Linked DNA regions of Oreochromis niloticus. The protein of the gene in region 1 interacts with the protein of each later gene in a biochemical or structural test. Links are inferred from orthologs where the notes say so. Each region holds a gene or a part of one and is shown in the gene's direction. Other genes may lie near its edges. The genes, in order: ccnb1 and zc3hc1.

Region 1 (9,876 bases):
GTAACCATAAAAATTCATCACAACACCTGTGAGTACGTTTATCACCCAGACAAAAGGCGAGTCACTCCTCAGCCCTACTTCTGCCTTAATCCCGGAGCTAAACATGCATTTATATATCCCCCAAGGGCTCAGTCAGGTGAGCAAATATCCTTCATCTTCAACTACTTCAAAGCACACAAACAGGGCCACACCGCCGTTTTACTTCTACAAATCCACTGAGTCATGCTAGCAAGCTAATGCACGCTGCTGGCGTTTTAAACCCCTTTTTAAAACCAAAAATTAAACAAATAATTATTCATCGTGGTGCTTGGTAACACTGTGGGTATTTTTCAAGGTGAAGCTGCGGTTAAAAGGGTTACTTAGAAATACTAAAAACAGACTCCTTGCTAAGTACGACTCTCCCGATCTCCCCGTTAGCATGCTAAAGGCTGCCTGCAGCTAGCAAGCTTAGCACGACTAGTTTGCTTTGTTCGCTTTTGTTGTTTGTTTTGAAGCACCAAAAATGTTATAAACAGAAGTCTCTACGACTCTTAAATAAGAGAAACAAAGGGACAAAATACACGCTAAAAATAACTGTTAAAATATCGATGCTAATTAGACACAAACTAGGAAAATTCAGAGCTGCGGATAGCTTTAAGTTGGAAAAAGGAGATTTTTAGAAAGGAGACGGATCGGTTTTTAAATAGCTGTAAGGTTAATGTCAGGTTTAGCAGCTATACAGCCTCTTAAACCTATTTAACGTGTAGTCTTGCCGTTGGAAAACTTTTTAAGGACACGTGTTAAGCAGCCAGACAGTCACTCTTTAATCCTCACTAATTAAGTAAGCCAATTTTACACCAACGTCGACGTTACTCGTTTTGGAAAATGTGCTTTTTAAATGGTTTGTAGCTACAATTAGTCCTAGGCTGAGACACTTCCCGAAACAACTAAGTTACTAACCAGCAGACTGCGGTTTAACTACTCGGTGTTGGCTTACCTTTTTGTGCCACAGAAACGCTGTTTTTTCGGCTAACAAAAACACCTGAATTTCTCTTGTAGCTGACTAACTAGGGCCGTCTAGGTTTAATCGTCGCTTGTGCCCTTTTCTTTTCGGTCCTCTCTCCGCCTGGGAGTGATGTTAGTTGCTCCCGCTGACGTCTTCAGTCTAGGAGAGGTAGTGGCATCTGTTTAGTTTTACGTGTTACGTTTGCGTCCTCCCTGCCTTCCGGTACACGTCATGGAAATTGTGATCTTCTGATTGGAGGGCAGGGTTGTTGGCGAAGAGCCACTAAAGATTTCAGGACAGAGCAGTCCTGGTTTCTACAAACATACCCTTACCCCACATAAGCAAACATCTATGTAGGAAAACAGATTTCAAAACATCAACACAGCACTAAAAGTAATGAGAGCAGACAAAAACAAAACAGTACAAAACATGACACATCCAAACTTCCACAGGTGCTGCTGTAGTGATTTCTTTTTAAAAGTGGTAAACACTGGTCTTGACCAGCATTAAAAGGACCACTTTGGACTCTTCCTAATATACATACAGACAGACAGAACCGGTACACTGATGACACCCTCACACACTGAGGAACATGTAGCAGTTTTTGTCAGAAGTTTAAATACACAAATTATGAACATGAATGTCAAGGTAATTGTGTGCTTTTAATGACTTATTTGAACTTTTTATAATTTTACAGTGTAACTCTTTTTGTTTAAAAACAAAAACTGGGTTCACAAGTCTGAATTTATTTTAGATTTAAATTCACACAAATGGTAAATGGTAAATGGCCTGTATTTGTATAGTGCCTTACTAGTCCCTAAGGACCCCAAAGCGCTTTACACATCCAGTCATCCACCCATTCACACAAACATTCACACACACAAGATCAAATATACTTACTAAATATTTTAATAAGTGACTCTAAAGGTTCTACAGTGTACGTCTTGTACATTCTTGTAAAACCTGTGAATGTCTTGTTAGTGATCAAAAACACTGGGCAGAGTTGACTCAATTACAGCATTCATGAGTCAAGTTTAGTGCATTTATTTACAGCAGAAACACCAGGTTGATACATAAAGGTAGTGATGGGAGGAAAACAGGGGCTCCAGGGATCCAGGGAAATGAGCATCCAAACAATCCAACTCTCCTCACTCACTTAGCTCTGGGAGTCTCTCCAAGTGCTCATTGGGTTGTTCGCTGATGGAGAGGCAGCGACATAGAAGTAGGGCAGGGCAATATGGCCAAAAATATTTATCACGATATATATTTGAAAATTTGCGATAACGATATAACTGACGATATAATTGACGCAAGACAAATTACTTTACAACTCCACAACTTTATTAGTGCAAAAAAAACCCCATCAATGTATTTTCACTTAAACAAGCAGCTGTTTTTTATGTGCATTGAAGCTATATAAAATGTAACAGTGCAAATGCAAATTCCTTGCTGACAGTTTAACCAAAGGGCATTTCCAGGGGAAACTGGCCAACATATCCTGAGCAATACCATGTTTAATAACCACAAAACTTAAAAAGAGGTTATACACACACAATGCGGTAATATTATGTTGAAGCACAGTACATATTACTCTGCGAGGATCCCGACTACGGTAGCCGTAATGCTCCGACAATCCATCAAGCAGTGCGGCTTCATAGTTTACGAAAGTCGTACTAAAACATTTTTTGACAGATTTTTGACCGCCGTGTACCACCTAAAATCGGTTCGGTAATATCGGTAATAACGGTAATAACGACGGCCCGCTTGCATGCTCTACCAAAACATGTGCTTATGAAAACAGAGGCACTGCGCATGCGCGTTTACCCATATTCAAACGGGATATTTCCTTTTCTTATCATTGCCTAACATTATACAGGTATTACCGTGAACGGTATAATATGGCCCAGCCATACATAGAAGTGTCAGGACTGGCGGTGTGGTGTCAAGAAATAATAATTCTCTAGATGTAGATAAGACCAAAGAAATGATTACATCACTGAGGCAGAGATATAGAGAGTAAAACCCTTTAAATTCCTCTCTTACTTGGTCTCAAAACACTGAGCACCTTCTGAAAAATTCTTAGACGACTGTTGGAAATTTGGCATGTCAACCAGAAACTTTTATACATGTAGAGCTAAGAGCATCATCGCTGCCTCAGTTACAGTGTGGTGTGGAGGCTGCACTGTTCAGGACAGGAAGGCTCTCCAGCGTGTGAGAAAAACTACACAGTACGTCACTGGAGCAGCCTTCCCATCACTGCCACTCTTTCTTGAGTAAAGTGCAAAGTACATATAAGGTTACTGGACTTTTGGTGAGGTCTCATTGTGATTCCAGCTGCTCAAGAGCCCTGGGTCTTTATTGTACTTTTTCATAATGGGTCTAATGTTTTCAACTGGCACCTTGCCTCAAATGACCTCAGTAGCTCACAGGACAGCATACTGGGACAATGTTTTACAGAGTTTCACACCTTGGCACCAGTGATGGTAATGGTCCAGGCCTTTTTTCACAGTAGGAAAACTCACATGACTGATATCGTGGCAACAACCACAAGGACGACCTCCAAGAGAACAAAAACCATCCTGGATCAAACCACTGGGACTCTACGTCACTTGTTTTAGAACTGAAGAAACCTCTTGGATGACCAATAAGAAGCCCAGTCGCCTTCTTTTCAAGCACTTGAGACTGCCATGATATGGATGACTTGTACCCTTCTTTCATGATAGGGCTTGAACCTGAATTTGTGGATGACACAGTGAACTGTGTTTACAGACATTGATTTCTGGAAGTGTTCATGAACTCATGCAATGATTCCCATGACAGAATCATGCCTGTTTTTAATGTGGTGCTGCTTGAGGGCCCAAAGATCACATCTATTCAGTATTGATTCACAGCCTTGTCCAGTGCCACAGACATGAGTCTGTAGAGTCTCTGAGCTTTTTCATAATATTATAGTATGCACTGTAGATGATGACCTTCACAATTTCACAACGAGTAACTTTAATCTGAAAGTGCTCCACAATTTGTAAATGCAGTTTGCTGCACATTAGTGAACCTGTGCCCATCTTTACTTCTTTGAAATTCTACTTCTCTAAAATGCTCTTTTCGTACCCTGTCATGTTACTAACCTGTTGACAACTAACTTTTTTTTTATTAACATAAAATCTTACACTAGCTGTTTTTCCAGCCTTTTGGTGTCTCAGCTTTTGTTGTCCCAACTTTTTTTTTGAAAAGTGTTCCTCCCATCAAATTCAAAAGAACCTTATTTTTTGGTAAAATGGTACGTTTATGTTTCCTGTGTTCTGGTGTAAATATAATATGGATATATATGATGTGCATCTTATTGCATTCTGTTGTTATTTATATTTTACACATTTATTTATTTTGATATTTTGTAATTTGGGTTGTAGAATGCATCTACTTATTGCCAAGGAGATAAGAGTCAACTTTACATTTATGTATCCAAGTGAAAAAGCAGAGTGTATCTACTTTTTGCTAAGTGGATATGTTTTACTTGGTGAACAAAGGCATTTAAAGATACACGGAGATCTAAAGCGATAAATACTGTAGCTTATTTAATGGATGACAAAAGTAAACTGTTATATTGTGAGTTGTGTGAGAAATTCCATCTGAAATGTAGACTTTTAGAAGCTATAACAGAAAAATAAAAGCAAAACCAGCCTCTATCGTTCAAGAAGGCATTTTTACTCTTAGATGTCTCATGTACTAAGGCAACTTTGTATGGTAGAAATTGACTTTTATTACACTAAATGAAATAAAAGAGCTATCAAAAATATCATGTTAAAGAAGGTCTATCATACTCAAAATGAAAGAAATTGTGTTCTGAACGAATTTGAGGCAATAGAATTTAAAGTATAACGATAAAATACACTTTTAGATTTGATTTCCTCTCCCTCCTAAAGTGACTTCTTATTAATTTATTTACTTGAAATGCAGAGAAAAAAAGAAAAAGAGAAAAAGCAGGACGTAACAGGAAAAGGAAATGAACATCAAGAAATCAAATCACGTGACCATAAGTTGTCCGGGGAACGCATTTCAAACAGGTGCGTTCGACCAATCAGACGCCAAGGAGAGTCTTAGGTCAGCGAATCAGCTATCAGCGAGCGAGGATTTAAACCTCGCTCGCTGTTCCTTGTATCTATACCATACCGTTCTCCATTACGACTCTTCGCCTGTTTGTTGAAGCATCGCTTGTTTCGAAATGGCTCTGAGAGTGACCCGGGTTAGACTTTTTCATCTCTATTTGTTGCTTTTATTTAATCGTTGCATCTGGGGAAACATTTAGAAGCGCTTTCTTTAAGTCTTTTGCTTAAAAAAAACCAAAACAAAAACGTAGCTTTCGTTTGTCGCTTTGGGATTTCTTATCATGGAGCAGGTCGATAATAAGGGTTTCCGCTTAACTAAAAGATAAAAGCGTGCAAACTACTATAATCATTGTGGATTTTCTTTTTTCTCTTTTTCCTGCAGAATCGCTTGGCTTCCACCAAGGTCGACCTCGGTGGGAAGGCCTGTTCTGTGTCTGGGCCCACGCAGAAGCCACGAGCAGCCCTGGGGGAAATTGGTAACATCGCAGTTAACAAAGACACACAGAAAAAGGTAAGTATTTGATCCTGAAATTAAATGTTTTTCTGTTAAATCTATGGAAAATGGTGGGATTTTGCAGTGAAATCATATGGGCACAGTGACTTCCAGCTCTGATGTCCAAATGGTTAAAATGGCCCGAGTGGGGCCACACTTGAAACAACGGGCACAAAATGCTGAATTGAGTCAAATCGGTGGCTAAGGTGGACAAAATAAAACTGGTTTACAAGTTTCTTCAGAAACAACTTCCTGTTAGGGTATGAAAGTGTTCTTTTAAACTTGTTTTTCCCCTGGCACACTGGGCCTTGACTACACATGGAACCAGTTATTAGTCAGCATTTAGCCTCTTGCTCTAAAAGAAGCCTACACATTTTCCTGCTTAGATTCTCTAATTTAAAAATATACTTAATCTCAAACAGAACAGGAAAACCCCTGAGAGTACAATGTGCTCAGATGATTGACTTAAACTGACTTAACGTGGTGCATAACTAAGTGCTGTTTAGACTAAAATTCAGAGGGCCTAAGTGATTGTCTTAAAACTTTATTTTAACCTTAGGGAGCACTTCAGATGGCTGCAGGACTGCTGCTTAAATGGGGGCATTGATAACAAGAGAACTCACACTTGCATGTCGCCCTCTTTTGGGCTACATTAAAATAGCAGCATAACATGCCTGCAGGAGTTTGTTAGCATGCTTCCTGCTGTGAGTCTTCCAATTAAGAGCGTGCTGGGAAAAACACTCAGTGGGTTTTGGTTGTAATTTGTCTGGCAAAACTCAAAGCTCTAGACGGAAGAGGAACCACAGCTTAAAATGAAATTGCATAATTGCTAGATTGTTTAAATGAGGCCCAATCATGCTGGGAACCGATCTCTATTTGAAAGTACCACTGAATTGGTTCTATATTAAGATTATTTAGCCTTTTCAGACTACTGACATTTCTGGCTTTAACGTGCTTTCCCTTAGACTGTAAAGACTGAAGCCCTCAAGAAGACCAAAGTTACAACCAGAGCTGAAAAGGCTGAACAGATCAAGCCAAAAGATGTCATTTCTGTTAAACCTGAGCCAGAGGTGCAGGCCCCACCCGAGCCGGCATCTCCCACACCAATGGAGACCTCTGGCTGCGAGCCTGCAGACCTATGCCAAGCGTTTTCAGATGTCATTCTGCACACTGCTATCAGGGACGTCGACGCAGATGACTATGACAACCCCATGCTCTGCAGTGAATATGTGAAGGACATCTACAAATATCTCCGCCAGCTTGAGGCAAGCAACTTAAAATAAAGGAATTTAAAGTGGGAATCTTGGGCTACTTTCCCCAAAGAGCACTAACCATTTTTTGTCTACTCAGGTTGAACAGAATGTCAGACCAAACTATCTGCAGGGTCAGGAAGTGACAGGCAACATGAGGGCCATTCTCATTGACTGGCTCGTGCAAGTAAATCTGAAGTTTCGTCTGCTGCAGGAGACTATGTACATGACCGTGGGCATCATTGACCGCTTTCTTCAGGTGAGTGAATCCTGGTTCTTCTACTTATAAATGCTGTTAGTCCTCCACTACACCGTTCCACCTTTCATGGTTTTCATCTCACTAATGGTGACTATACCTCCCAACAGGACCATCCAGTCCCCAAGAAACAGCTGCAGCTTGTTGGAGTGACTGCCATGTTCCTTGCTTCAAAGTATGAGGAGATGTATCCCCCAGAGATCTCAGACTTCGCCTACGTCACAGACAGGGCCTACACCACAGCCCAAATCAGAGATATGGAGATGACCATTCTGCGGGTGCTGAAGTTCCAACTGGGTCGTCCTCTCCCCCTGCAGTTCCTCAGAAGGGCCTCCAAAATTTATGAGGTTTGCAGCATATCTGGTGTCACAGGAAGTGCTGATGGGTTACAGTTTAAGTGTTCGTGCATCAACTTCTCGTGCATCTCTTCACAGGTAACTGCCGAGCAGCACACTCTGGCCAAGTATCTCCTGGAGCTCACAATGGTTGACTACGAGATGGTCCATTTACCACCTTCAATGGTGGCAAGTGCCGCTTTGGCACTCACCCTCAAAATATTGGATGCTGGAGAATGGGTAAGTGCATCTGAAGGGTCTCGAAGGTTTTGGTGTCTGGGGGAGAAAAAAAGTGTACTTGGTGCCCTTGCTAAAACGACAACTAGGTCTGAAGTATTCAAGTCGTTCTCTTTTAAGAACAGACCTATGAAACAATGTCAAGAGTGTAATCCATAATTGAGTGCAACAAATAGTTGGCATAAAGCTGAAGTGGCATTGTTAACTTATTGCACTTCCTGGCAAATTAAATGATATGGGTGCAACAAAGCTTGTCTGGCCTTTGCTTATCCCTGACTTTAGACTTCTGAGCTGAATCTATGCAGAACCTACACAAGTGTCTGACATGATTGCAAGAATAAACTTGTGCAGGTTATGGTTGCAAAATTGCAACAATGGGTTTTATGGAACGGTCATGAGAAACTTTCATATTTGTAAAAAGGACTCCTTGGATAAGTTTAAATATCAAAAGGCTTTGCTTTATGTAAAGGAGTTGTTTGTACATCTAGATCAGTAAATTAACTTGTATATTATGTGACTCATGCACATCTTGATTAGCAAATCCTAAACAGATGCATTTAAATTGTCTTTCCAGGATGTGACGCTGCAGCACTACATGGACTACACAGCAGAGAGTTTGATTCCTGTTATGGCACACATCGCCAAGAACGTCGTCAAAGTGAATAATGGGCTGACCAAGCACATGGTAAGCTTCTCATCCAATCAGGATAAGTCTTCAAATTTAAACTAATGTTGAACTTGACAAGACCTAACCTCACTGTCTCTGCAGGCCATCAAAGGAAAATACTCCACCTCAAAGCAGATGAGGATTGCCAACATCTCGCAGCTCAAATCGTCAGTGGTTAAGGACCTGGCAAAGCAGGTCACACAGTGAGATGACAGATGTCCTTGGCACCATGTGCTGATTTGTACAGATGTAATTTAACTTTTTAACCTGACCAAGGATCCGCACACCAAGGATGTCACTAGTTTACTATTTTTTTCTTTTTAAAGACTGAGGGTGTGTATTTTTACAGCCTGCCCAAAGCATGCCACAAGTTAAGTTTGACCTGAGCAACAAAATGGGAGTTCTGTCTTATAAGATTGACAGCTGGGCTATGTTCAGACTAGTGCAAGGCAACAGTTTTTTGTTTTTGGTTTTTTCCCCACTTATTCACAAGTACTCATGCACTAATCGTACTAGGCCTGAAGACCTCTATGACCTTACACAACTTTAAGTCTAATGCACATCTCTAAACTGCTGCTCAGGTGTTTAATCTAAAACTTGTGGTATGACTTAAATGGTCAGCAATGTGAAATGTCACTTTTTAAAAATTTCTTCAGTGGATGTGTTGGTGTGTAAAATGTACAGCAATACTTTTTAAATCAGTTTTTGCGTTCTTACTATTTTGTTCTTAAAGGATTTATTAAATGGCTTTGACCAGAAAGCTGCTTGCCTTGTTCCTTGTGATCTCCACTAGAGGCTGCTGTGAGACAAGCATTTTAAAGCTGAAGTGCATTAAGGCAACTGAAGTTGTCACAGTGCCCACGTTGAGAAATGTTGACTTTGCCCCGCTGTGCTTCAGTTAGAGCAATGTTAATATTTACTTGATGAGCCCAGGGCAGTACAGCTTGTATCAAAACGGCTGAATAAAAAAACTTAATCTCTTGATGTGAAGATGTCTCTTCATGATGGCTTTTGTCTTTCAAAAGAAAGGTGTCATCTGATTGGGGAATTTGAGGATATCAGTTAAACTCTGTACTTCAGGGAAACTTAAGGCAAATCTTTGAGGACTTTCCGTTCACATTAGGTCACTTTCTGATAGCGCATCTAGGACTTTATTTTTTGCTTTAGGGCCAAGCGCTAATATTTCAGGGCTGCCCTCAGACTGGAGGCTAAAACAGGGACTTTGAGTGATAAGCCCTAAGACACCTGGGATAGGCTCCAGTGCCCCCTGCCATCCACAAAAGGATAAGCGGATGCAAATGGATGAGAGACCAGTCCAGAGTGTGGTTGTTGCGCTTTTGACGAAAGGCAAAATTCTAAATCTGGGTTCACAGCTAGCAACTCTCTCAAACCATCTACAGTCAAGAGCAGAACTGCACAAACCTATAGTTAGAATAGTCTTTCCAGGAGGTGCCAAAGGGATAACTTCTAAGTCCTAGAGAGAACCAGCTTTAATTTAGTGATGGTTCTCCACTGGTTCACAATATTACAGACTTGAGGAAAAAGCTGTA
Region 2 (10,625 bases), on another chromosome or scaffold:
CCTGTCCATAGATTCTGTTGGGCTTCTTCCCTCGACAGTTGAGCAGCGACCATCGTTTGTACTTCACGTTACAAACGTGAACATCATTGCCATTATTTTCACCAAAGGGGATTCCGGTGCCCCCAAACACCAGGAGGTTGTTACCGTGCAAAACAGCTGCAGAAAAACAGCAACCCCAAACTTGATTTTCATACATGTTTTGGGGTTTTTTGTGGGTTTTTTTGTATGAAATACCAACAATGTGTAAACACTAGTAAAATTCTCAGAAGTACTAAATACACAATGCTTCACCTGACATTGATGCCAGCTCTGTGGGCATGTAGCCCTCTGTCCGGATCTGCTGCCAGCAGCCTGTTGCAAAATGATACCTCCATAGCTCCCTGAAAAGTGGATAGTCTTCATTCTCTGAGCCTCCTGACTCATCGTAGTCGGGGTTGTACCCACCAAACACATACAGGTTAGTGTTGTCAGCGACGCAGCGGTGCCCACTGCGGGCAGGTGGTGTTCGATGCCCTGGAAATAGAAAAAAAACCAAACAAATCCTAAAAATGAGGACGAGGAGGACCATCCTGACAAAGATTGTCTCTTCTCCACTTTGCTCAAACCATTATCATTTCCTTCTACGTGCAAAAAGCTACTACTTGAGCTAAATGCTGCTCTTAATTTTATGCATGATTTGAACTTTGACACTGCTTAACCAGATAAAACAAACATTCTTTTTAAAAACTGACAGAAAAAAATAAAATGTGACATTGTAAAGCTATATAAAAAACATTATCCAAAAGTAATAAAAGTACTTGTAATAATAGTGATATGCCGTGGTCATATCACATATCACAATTAAATCAATTAAAGCGTTAGAGTGTCACCTGCATATGCATCTAAAAAGTCAAACGCTTTTTAGAACTTGAGACTAGTTATAGATCCAACCTGACTAATGCTCTACCGGTTATACACATAACATGTCAACTTTCATATTGATAACTATGAGAAATTCTGCATTACAAGAGTCGTTGTAGGACATTTACTGGAAATTGGGAAGAAACATAAAGGCATTAGACCAAGAACGCTATATAAGCTCAAGATTATGATCTATGTTAACTGATAAGAATGTGCTTAAGGTTCAGTACAATCAGCATTCATTACTAATTTCCTTTACTGTATTGCAGTCTTTAGGATTATCATAAATAATTTTTACTTCAGGTCAGCTGGGATACATGATTGATGGAGGGAATTTTAATGCAGTCGCAGAAATCCTTAACCGAGAGGAGGAAAGGAGTTACACAGAAGAGAAAAAAAACCCCCTATTTTCTTACATTTAATTTCTTATGTGCTATTGGATAGATATACTAAGTGAGGCAAATTACTGTGAAGCCGCAGTTACAGGGTAATTTACTAACAATGTGCTGTAATTTATATACAAAGATGCAGCCAGTTCACCTCAGTAAAAAAAAATAAAAAATTTGTAGAAAGAATGCAAATTAGTGGCCCCAAAAATCCAGAGGAAGGAGCGTTAGGCAGAGCGCTGCATACCTGCTAACTAAAATAATCCAGTTTAAGCTCAGGTTTCATGGAAGTGTTTTTCTCTGAAAACAGCAAGGCAATCATGATAAATGAGACGAAGCTGAATGAAAATGAATATGCTGATCTGATAGAAGAGTTATTTCTCAGCACTGTGCAAAGGGTTCTAATGATTAGGACTCAGGTGCAGCGCAAGATTGATCGAGAGGAGAACTGCATTATTAAAAACTGTCCCACCCTATAAACCTGAAATCTGTGTGGAACAGCTGACCTGTACGGTGTGCAGAAGACCACAAAACATTATTTACAGTCAGATGATGAGCCATCTCAGTTGCTATGTTACTATCCCATGTGTGTGAATGTGCACTTCGCCTTTTAGTTTTAATAGCACATTGCAACATTTAAGCATTAATTTAACTCACCAAACCTTTTATTGGTTACAGATTCAACAATTGGGGTTTGCCTCTAAACACGCACACAATTTTTTTTTCCCAAACACAACTCCCCCCCCCCCCAGCATTAAAGTTTGTGCAATTTGCAGTAAATTGTGTTACGAAGACTTTGTAATTTACACTGGTGTGACTCATTTAAATATTCTCCTCCTGAAAGTGAAAATACAAATACATTTGGCATAATACCAGCCTCAAAAAAAACCCTCCTGTTCACATACTGACACTTAGTCTCTTTTGTAAATCCAGCAGCTTTTTAATGTCAAAAGAAGGCTTTGTGCTGCTGTAGACGTTAGTACACCTGGCCCTAGATTTTTCTTCTTTTTAAGCCTACAATGAATTTTTCACAGACTGTTCTCTTTTAAAAGACCTCCATAAACCAACAGGGTCAGAACATGTTGTGGCGAAGGAGGATGTGCGTTTTGTAGTCCATCTTCTACCCATTGTAGTTTCATCAATACTCAGGCACACTATGGCACCTATTTGCTTCTACTGTCTTGTAAAACTTCATATGAGCAATAAAACTACAACATGAGTATTTTATACAACTGTCTATAATGAATTATCAGTCATCAAGATCATATTTCTCTGTAGATCTATGTCAGCATCTGTTAGAGTGACCAGTTTTGGTCTTTGTACTGCAGAATTTCCCTTTCCTGACCAGCTTGTATCTGTAAAACACAAAAGTATACAGGATCTCAACGTAGGATCTACCACAGGCATAAGAGGAAATAACTAGCAACCAAAGAGCAGTCTATTCTTTGAAAATTGTATACACACAGTAGATCATCTCAGACATGTTTGGGTTTTATTTTTTTGTTTTTTGGCCAGCAGAGGTTATACTGAAGATATCCTGTCTATACGTTTCTGGAAAATAGAGATGTAACAAATCTCTCCATGACTGGGAACATACCTAATGAGAGCTTGAAACTTGTTAGTGGACATGGCTCTGTGATCCGCTTAAACCATCAAGTATTTTATCAAACCGCAGCATAAACCACAGATACACACAAAGCTTAAACCTTCAAATTGTTATAAATAAAACCTTAAATCCATGAAATCCAATCCAGCCACTATTAGACCATTTACTGTAGCACACTACAGCCGATAAAGCTCTATGCAAAAGTATTATGTGCTATTTTCTCCTGTTAGCTTGGATAGGATCGCACCCAACACATCAAAAGATAATCAAACAGAATTGCGGGATGTTGCTAGCCTGAATGTAATGCTTTAAAATAGCACGAGTAAAGGCAAAGTTTAAAATTCCTGACTCAAAGTAAAAAGCAGCTGATGTAAATGACACAGACTCAGTCTGACTGTACAGACATGATAACGTCCAGGTAAAGCGTAACGTCGTTAGCATATCTTGCTAATGTTTTTGACCGACCTGCTAACGTCACACCGTGCGGCGGCCTGCCTGTCAATTTCTGGAATTTATTCAGCTGGTCTGGACTGTGAGCACATTCGGCGTCCGACATCGTCTCCCCCTTTACAATCCAATCGCGGAGAATGTTACGTCAAATAAAAACAACATCTGATAAGAGCCGTAGAATCATTTTACGTTTCAGTCAGTTTGGAAGACATCCACAAACGTTACCTCCCCCCACTGTGTATTGGACTTGGCCAATCACTGGACTCGTTATTAGGACGTTGCGTCATTAGAGGTGGGCGGGGCGGCGGTTGCCGGTACGTATCCACAACACAACAGTTTTACTTGGAGTGTGGATGGCCAAAAAGGCGTTCCCAGGCTATATATATATGCATGCATGCATGCCCCGGGGCCACTGTATATTAAATAATAAAAATAATGAAAAAAATATTATTGTTATTGCTTGCACTGTGCAGACCTAGTCAAGGTTATCAATTAGAATAGAATAGAAGAATAGAAGAATCCTTTAATTGTCCCACAAGGGGAAATTTGGTTGTAACAGCAGCCAGAAAGACACATATACAAACAAACAGTACACAGGACACAGAACAGAAACATACACATTTTTTCTTACATATTTACATTAAGGACAATGGTTACTATAAACAGAGTACTGTACAGTTATTAAATTAAATATAAATAACTACAGATAAGAGGCAAACCCAGGTTGTAGTGCGAATCGGTTGATTAACTTATTGCAGTTACAGCGCAGATGTAAACATCTGTGATTGTTGGGAGCAGTTCTGATTGTACAGTCTGACAGCTGCAGGGAGGAAGGACCTGCGGAAACGCTCCTTCATGCATCTAGGATGCAGCAGTCTGTCACTGAAGGAGCTCTGCAGTTCAGCAACATTTACATGCATGGGGTAGGAGACTCTGTCCATCAGAGATGTTATTTTGGCCAGAGTCCTTCTGTCTCCCACCATCTGCACTGGGTCCAGGGTGCATCCCAGAACAGAGCTGGCCTTCCTGATGAGTTTATCCAAACTCTTCCTCTCAGCTGCCGATAAACTGCTGCTCCAACATACCACACTGTAAAAAATGACAGATGCCACCACAGAGTCATAGAAGGTCTTTAAAAGCGCTCCCTGTACTCCAAATGACCTCAGCCGCCTCAGCAGGTAGAGTCTGCTCTGACCCTTCCTGTAAAGAGCATCAGTGTTGTGGCTCCAGTCCAGTTTATTATTCAGGTGAACACCCAGGTACCTATAAGAGTCCACTATCTCAATGTCCACTCCCTGGATGTTCACCGGTGTCAGTGTGGTGGGTCTGCTTCTCCGGAAATTCACCACCAACTCCTTGGTTTTCCCGGCATTGATCAGCAGGTGGTTCTGCTGACACCAGTCTACAAAGTCCAGAGTCCACTGTCTGTACTCTGAGTCGTCCTCACCTGTGATGAGGCCAACTATGGCAGAGTCGTCAGAGAACTTCTGCAGGTGGCAGCGTGGGGAGTTGATGGAGAAGTATGCAGTGTAGAGGGTGAAGAGGAACGGTGCCAGCACAGTTCCCTGTGGGGCCCCCGTACTGCAGACCAGTGTATCAGAGACACGGCCCTGTGACCTCACATACTGTGGACGTTCTGTGAGGTAGTCCAGTATCCACTTTTCTACCTTCTTTTAACAACTGAGAGTGGAGACAGATTATCATTTAGAACATGAAGTGGCATTCTCATGTTTGGGGGGAGAAACAAACAAACCATTAAAAAAACTGTCACCATGGGTAGCTATTCATCATCTAGGGATCACATCACCTGTGGTGCACCACAAGGTTCAGTTTTAGGTCTTACTTTGTTTTCTATTCATGTGCTTTCAGTTGGAGAGAATACAGTTAGTGAATCAGGAAGTGCAGAGGATGAGTAGTAAGAAGTGGGGGCAGCTATTAAAGACATACCTGGAGATGTTTAAGACAGAGGGCTTTTGATCAGATTGTTTAATACAGTTTTGGAGAACATGCCTAAGGAATGGAGAATAAGTTGAGTGGTAATGATTTTCAAGAACAAAGGTGATGTGCAGAGCTGTAGTAAAAACAGAGTTTAGAAAGTTGATGACACACACCATGAAGACAGAGTGGGAGATGTGGAAACTAGATTAGGAGGAGAGTTGAAAATCAGTGAGCAGGTGATGTAGGCGATGGCATGTATGTAAAATTTCATTTAATACTTTCAGTTAATAATTTCAATCACTAATGTCTGCAGTATTTTCTTCCCTAATGTTAAAAATATGGTCAGATAAGCAAGATGGGACAAAAATGTTTCTGCTTTTATCCAAAATTCCTTGATGAAAATATAATGGGACAATGCTGGGCCCTCAGAACGCATCATTCTTACTCAAATGCCTGCAGATCGTAAAGTACATCTGTGCTGGCTTGAACAGAGATACATTTTCCTACAATCTGGTGATGCAATATTCTAAGAATTGAGCTAACAACAGTATATAGTGGGATGTGTTGCAAAAAAAACAAAAAACAAAAAACAAAACTCCACCAAATAAGAATTTCTTCAAAGAGACTTTGTTTTTGTCTATATAGCATACCTTATAGTTGAAAATATTCATGTTTCCATTACATTTGTGTGAGACCTATTACTTATTTGAAATTCCTTTATATAGCTCTTTGTTCTACAACAAACTACACCGCATCAGATGGAGTCTTAAGAAGCCTCCACTTCAAACTACAGCAGAAGATATTAATGGATTACTAATCTTATAGTGTAATATTGCCCAAAACAATAAATTCAGAAGGGGTAATTTTGTAAGCATATTTATTGCAGTTTATTGCATCTGGATAACAATATTTAACAAACGATCCATAATCAAATACATGGAAACAAATTTAAAAAGTCAAATAAAATGTTGGACCTACATTTAAAAACACACAAAAAAGTAGATTTTAAATCACATTTTTTAATTAAATACTAAATAAATAATTCCTTTCATTTTAACACTAATAACAGTCAATCTATGAGCTTAGCCTTACGGAATTACGCTTTCGAAATTTAAGCTATGTTCACGGTGAAGAAGTGATGTTGTTGCAGCGCTGTGGTCTCGCAGCATCACGAAGCGGAACTGTCGGTTTCAGGGTGTATTTTCCGTGGGACCACAGAGCCGATCATGGCGACTCTCGGCGGTAGTCGTGGGGATCGTCTCGGCAATTCTAATCAACACAAGTCTGCTATTGTTTCCCCGGAAAAAGTTCGTGAAATTCTCAATGAGGGGGTGTCGTCAACAGGCGTGGGTTCCAACAGGTGCGATTTTTTTAATCAGAGAGCGCTCATTGTTCAATTTAAAAAGACGGAGAACAAGTTGACGCTAGCTAGTTTGCCTAGCTACTTAGCTTGGTAGCTGTACTTTTAGCTTCATTCAGTCAGCATAATGAGAAGACGAACGAGATTCCGCAGGTTTGGATGCGTGTAAGCTAGGAACAGCAGTATGAACTGGCACGCCTTTGTGTTTTCTTTGCTCTCATTGTTGTATTCATCGGGCAAGTTTGTTATGGTAGCATCTGAATTGTCGCCACTGTACAGTTAGAGATAAGAGGGGGTGGGGACCTAAAGTTTGGTAGTAACTCCCTACTTTGCAAGTTTGCTGTTTTGCTTCCATCATTAGGTTAAACGAATCGATTCTTTTCAGTATTGTGAGATTATAAAATGAAAATAGGAAACATATAAGGTGAAGTACGCATAGCTTTAACCAGTTATATTTGTTTTATCAATCACGTAAATAAAAGTGTGCATACTGAAGATGTGTTTTCCCCTTTTTGATGATTTAAGTGTACAAGGGGATTTGAATGTCCTGGAAGTGGAAAGCAGCTCTCAAGCACCTTGCGAAGCAACGAACAAAGAAGCCTTTTTCTCAAGAGTGGAATCCTATTCAATATCCTTTTTTTCCCCCTCATTTTGAATCCGTATGAGCCATCTTAGTTCTTGTTTTTATATTGTTATTATTACATGTCCTTGCTGTATGTAAGTTGAAATTTCCCTTAGCACCACACTGTTTGAAATGGGCAGGCAAACCACGCATACTTTCCCCGTTGATGTGTGCCAGATATGGCTGGATCAGTGTTGGCTGTGATATGCTCAAGTGCTCCAGCTGCCAGGCTTTCCTATGTGCATCCTTGCAGCCAACTTTAGACTTTGAAAAATGTAAGTGAAACTTAAAGCAACTGCACAATAACAACACTAGAGGACAAACTGTTTTTGTTTTTTTTGGCAAGGTTAGGTTGATATTGTCAGGCTGCCAAAAAATTTTTTTAAATTGAAGCACATCTCCTCTTTTAAACAGATGAAAGCCGCATTGCAGAGATATCAAGGCAGCTTCAGACACAGCATGAAAAGTTTTGTCCTTGGCCTGACTTTCCATGTCCAGGTGGGAGCAAGCATTTTGCATGAAACGTATATATCAGCAAAAGTAATTTGACTTGAATAAACTTTAATTTTCATTTTTCTCCATGTAATGATCATGGTAAATGTTCCTTTTATTTCAGAGCGCTTCTGGCTTGTTCCAGCCTGTGAACCATCGACACTTCTTGCTGCCTTTTTGGAGCGCTTCCAGAGCGCCTGTCTCCTTACACAGCAGCTGCCAGCAATGAAACCGGAGCAGCTGAAGTCTATGGTGAAGCTGCAGAATGGCTTCAGCCTTTTTAGGATACTGACTCCAGTGCTGTTTGAAGCATTATACATATTATTTACATTAGAGAATACACTTAAAAGAATGCATTATTGAGATTATAGAAAGAGTTGTCTGAGTCACTCGTTCACCTATACTTATTGGCCACTCTTTCCTTGCAGTCTTTGACAGAGGACGTTATCAGCAGTATGCTGCAGGTGATTGAGGAAGAACAAAAAAGAAAGGGAGAAACTCCTTGCTCTGAGCCTTTGGCTATCCAGATGGCAGCATGTATTGTTTCTCTCTGCGGTTGGGCAGCAAGGTGAGATGTAACTCGAAACTCCTTTCATAGAAATCAGTGTTGTCATATGCTGACATTAAAAGTTGGGTGAAAATTTAGAAACATGGGACAAAAAAAGTGTTTTTCCTCCTTTTTAGTCCTGCTCTGCACGCCATGAGCCTGCCGATCCTCACCTGCTCCTACTGTATGCGCAAGGTGGGCTTGTGGAATTTCCATCAGATGGAAGGAATGGGAGGTGAAGCGGACAATTCAACAAATACACTGGGCACCCCTGTTCGGGCAACGAGTCCTGCTTCAGCAACCCCAAATGATGGTCAGGGAGAGCATTCGACTTCCACCTCACCGAGCCCTGCTACAACTCCTTGTCGCATGAAGCTGCGGAGCCAGGACTCCACCCGCTCTGACCAGGTGAGGAGGAGGACCAGGCGGATTTCCCGAGTTGTGCCACTAGCTGGAAAAACACTAAACCACGCTGTGCACAAGCTATGATGCAAGCTTATTAATCCTTTCAATTAGAACAAGTGAATGTAAACTTCAGAATATACTAAGCTGCTTCTATGCTGTCTTGGTGTATGTTACAGGGAGAGGGTACCTCCTCCCCAGTGGCCTTGCGTGCCCGGAGCAGAGACTCACCTAGCCCCAGCGAAGAACTGCCAAGCCCTTTGACGAGGGGCAAGAGGCCCGCAACTCGCAGTAGAGGACAGGGAGATGGCCCAGGGACTGACGGCACTACTAGCCTGCCTCCAAAGCGCCTGTGCCTCTCATCAACTGGTGGTCTTGTAAGAACTAACATTACTAAGGATTTTTTTGTTTTGTTTTTTTAATTATGGCATCAGACTTTATCTGAGGGAATCCGTACAGTCCTGCCTGGTTATTCAGCCAGTGTTTCAAGAGTAATTTGAGTATTTTGTTTGGTTTACATTACAGTTAGAAATTTTGTTAAATTAAAAACATGAAAGACAAACATTCCCTTTTTTTTTAAGGCAGAGGTGTATAATACAAATGTTGACCTACTATCTCTTATTTCAGGATGGGCCCTTGCCCAAGAATGTATTTGACCCCTTAGCTCAGCACAGGGAATGGTGTCCCTGGATCTCCGTAGGAAAGGAGAATGTGGATCCTGGGGCTATCCCTTTTTCAGACAAAGGTTCAGGACTTTATCAGCAGGGCTGGAAAGCTGCTCTGGACCTCCTCATGCCCATGAAGAAGAACTCCAGTATAGACGAAGGCAGTCCAGCACAGGCAAGACAAAAAGTTCAAATCTTTGTATTTCATAGAAAAGAGTCATCAAACATGTAAATGATAGATTTATACAGATTTACAGATTTTTGCTTTGTTTGTTTGTTTTTTATTCCAGGGCCCCCGTGACAAATCTAAAAGGGTGTTTGCTATATTCCGACAGTGGCAGGTTTCCTCTTCGCCATCTCAGTAGACTCTTTGCAAACAAAAACAGCATTGCAACACTGAAGTGATGAACTGACCTCCACTCTTGTTTGTGGTACAGAATCCATATTACTAATGACAGGAGTATCAAGTGTTATTAAATGTAAGCCATCAATTGAGGTCTTGTTTCTGTTCAGTGTTTGTCAAGGACAAATAAGGTTCATTGTGTCATTAGACAAATGAATGTGTTCTCAGTAAACAGTAAAAAATGTGAATGAATGCTGTGGCTTTTTAAAAAACATTTCAGTTCGGCTACACAAGATTTACATGACCACAATGTCTGCTTTGGTAGTCCTTGATGACAACATGATGGTCTGGATTTTTGTGGAATATAGAAGATCATGAGAAAGGGCCACATGGCTCTACACTGGAAAGATGATGTTTACCTTTACCGTATTTTGAGTTCTTTGCAAGAGCAGTAAACATTAACCTCAGATTAGGGAAAAAAAAAAAAAAGACTGTGAGGAAGTACCTATGTGTGTATTGTTTTGCTTAAACACCAGATGGATACAATAGCTCCTCGAAGAGAGCAGAATCTTTTTGGAGTAGTGATGTTTTGTTTTTTCTCATCCGTGCTACCCGGTTTGAAATTCTTGATTTTCTGTGATATTTCGTTACCGATGCAGTTCTCACTCTCTTGCATGTACCTTTGTCTTTGTAGACGCTCCTAAAAGGGTTTAATAAATTGCTCTTCTGAATGTTTGTTTTACTTTGCATGTCGTTCTTCTGAGATTTTTAAGATAAGGCCAGTCAAAAAATTAATGAAATTATATTGTAAATCCAAGAAAAATGCATACAGTACAAATGTGTCGGATGGCTCTGCTTCACAAAGATTTTTTTGGAATGTTTTTTTTACGTTTATTTTAATTTTTATTTGCTGA

Evidence for each region.
Region 2: of the proteins of ccnb1 (region 1) and zc3hc1, one has a biochemical effect on the other in vitro, tested with the Homo sapiens proteins (3 studies listed by BioGRID, with this or other methods). The link is inferred for Oreochromis niloticus from reciprocal best matches to the Homo sapiens genes CCNB1 and ZC3HC1.

What each region holds. Positions count from the first base shown.
Region 1 is NC_031972.2:31,327,207-31,337,082, reverse strand, and holds ccnb1 (G2/mitotic-specific cyclin-B1), read left to right. Parts: upstream 1-5,066; 5' UTR 5,067-5,204; coding exon 5,205-5,225; intron 5,226-5,470; coding exon 5,471-5,599; intron 5,600-6,546; coding exon 6,547-6,846; intron 6,847-6,931; coding exon 6,932-7,090; intron 7,091-7,197; coding exon 7,198-7,434; intron 7,435-7,521; coding exon 7,522-7,662; intron 7,663-8,233; coding exon 8,234-8,344; intron 8,345-8,428; coding exon 8,429-8,533; 3' UTR 8,534-9,086; downstream 9,087-9,876. UniProt on the Homo sapiens protein: Essential for the control of the cell cycle at the G2/M (mitosis) transition.
Region 2 is NC_031981.2:10,957,808-10,968,432, forward strand, and holds zc3hc1 (zinc finger C3HC-type protein 1), read left to right. Parts: upstream 1-6,446; 5' UTR 6,447-6,506; coding exon 6,507-6,640; intron 6,641-6,678; exon of another isoform or gene 6,679-6,767; coding exon of another isoform or gene 6,768-6,805; intron 6,806-7,165; coding exon 7,166-7,268; intron 7,269-7,386; coding exon 7,387-7,537; intron 7,538-7,676; coding exon 7,677-7,760; intron 7,761-7,878; coding exon 7,879-8,006; intron 8,007-8,182; coding exon 8,183-8,322; intron 8,323-8,438; coding exon 8,439-8,709; intron 8,710-8,882; coding exon 8,883-9,080; intron 9,081-9,330; coding exon 9,331-9,543; intron 9,544-9,658; coding exon 9,659-9,733; 3' UTR 9,734-10,446; downstream 10,447-10,625. Other genes in the region: klhdc10 (kelch domain-containing protein 10), read right to left, coding at 2-156, 292-513, 3,358-3,448. UniProt on the Homo sapiens protein: Required for proper positioning of a substantial amount of TPR at the nuclear basket (NB) through interaction with TPR.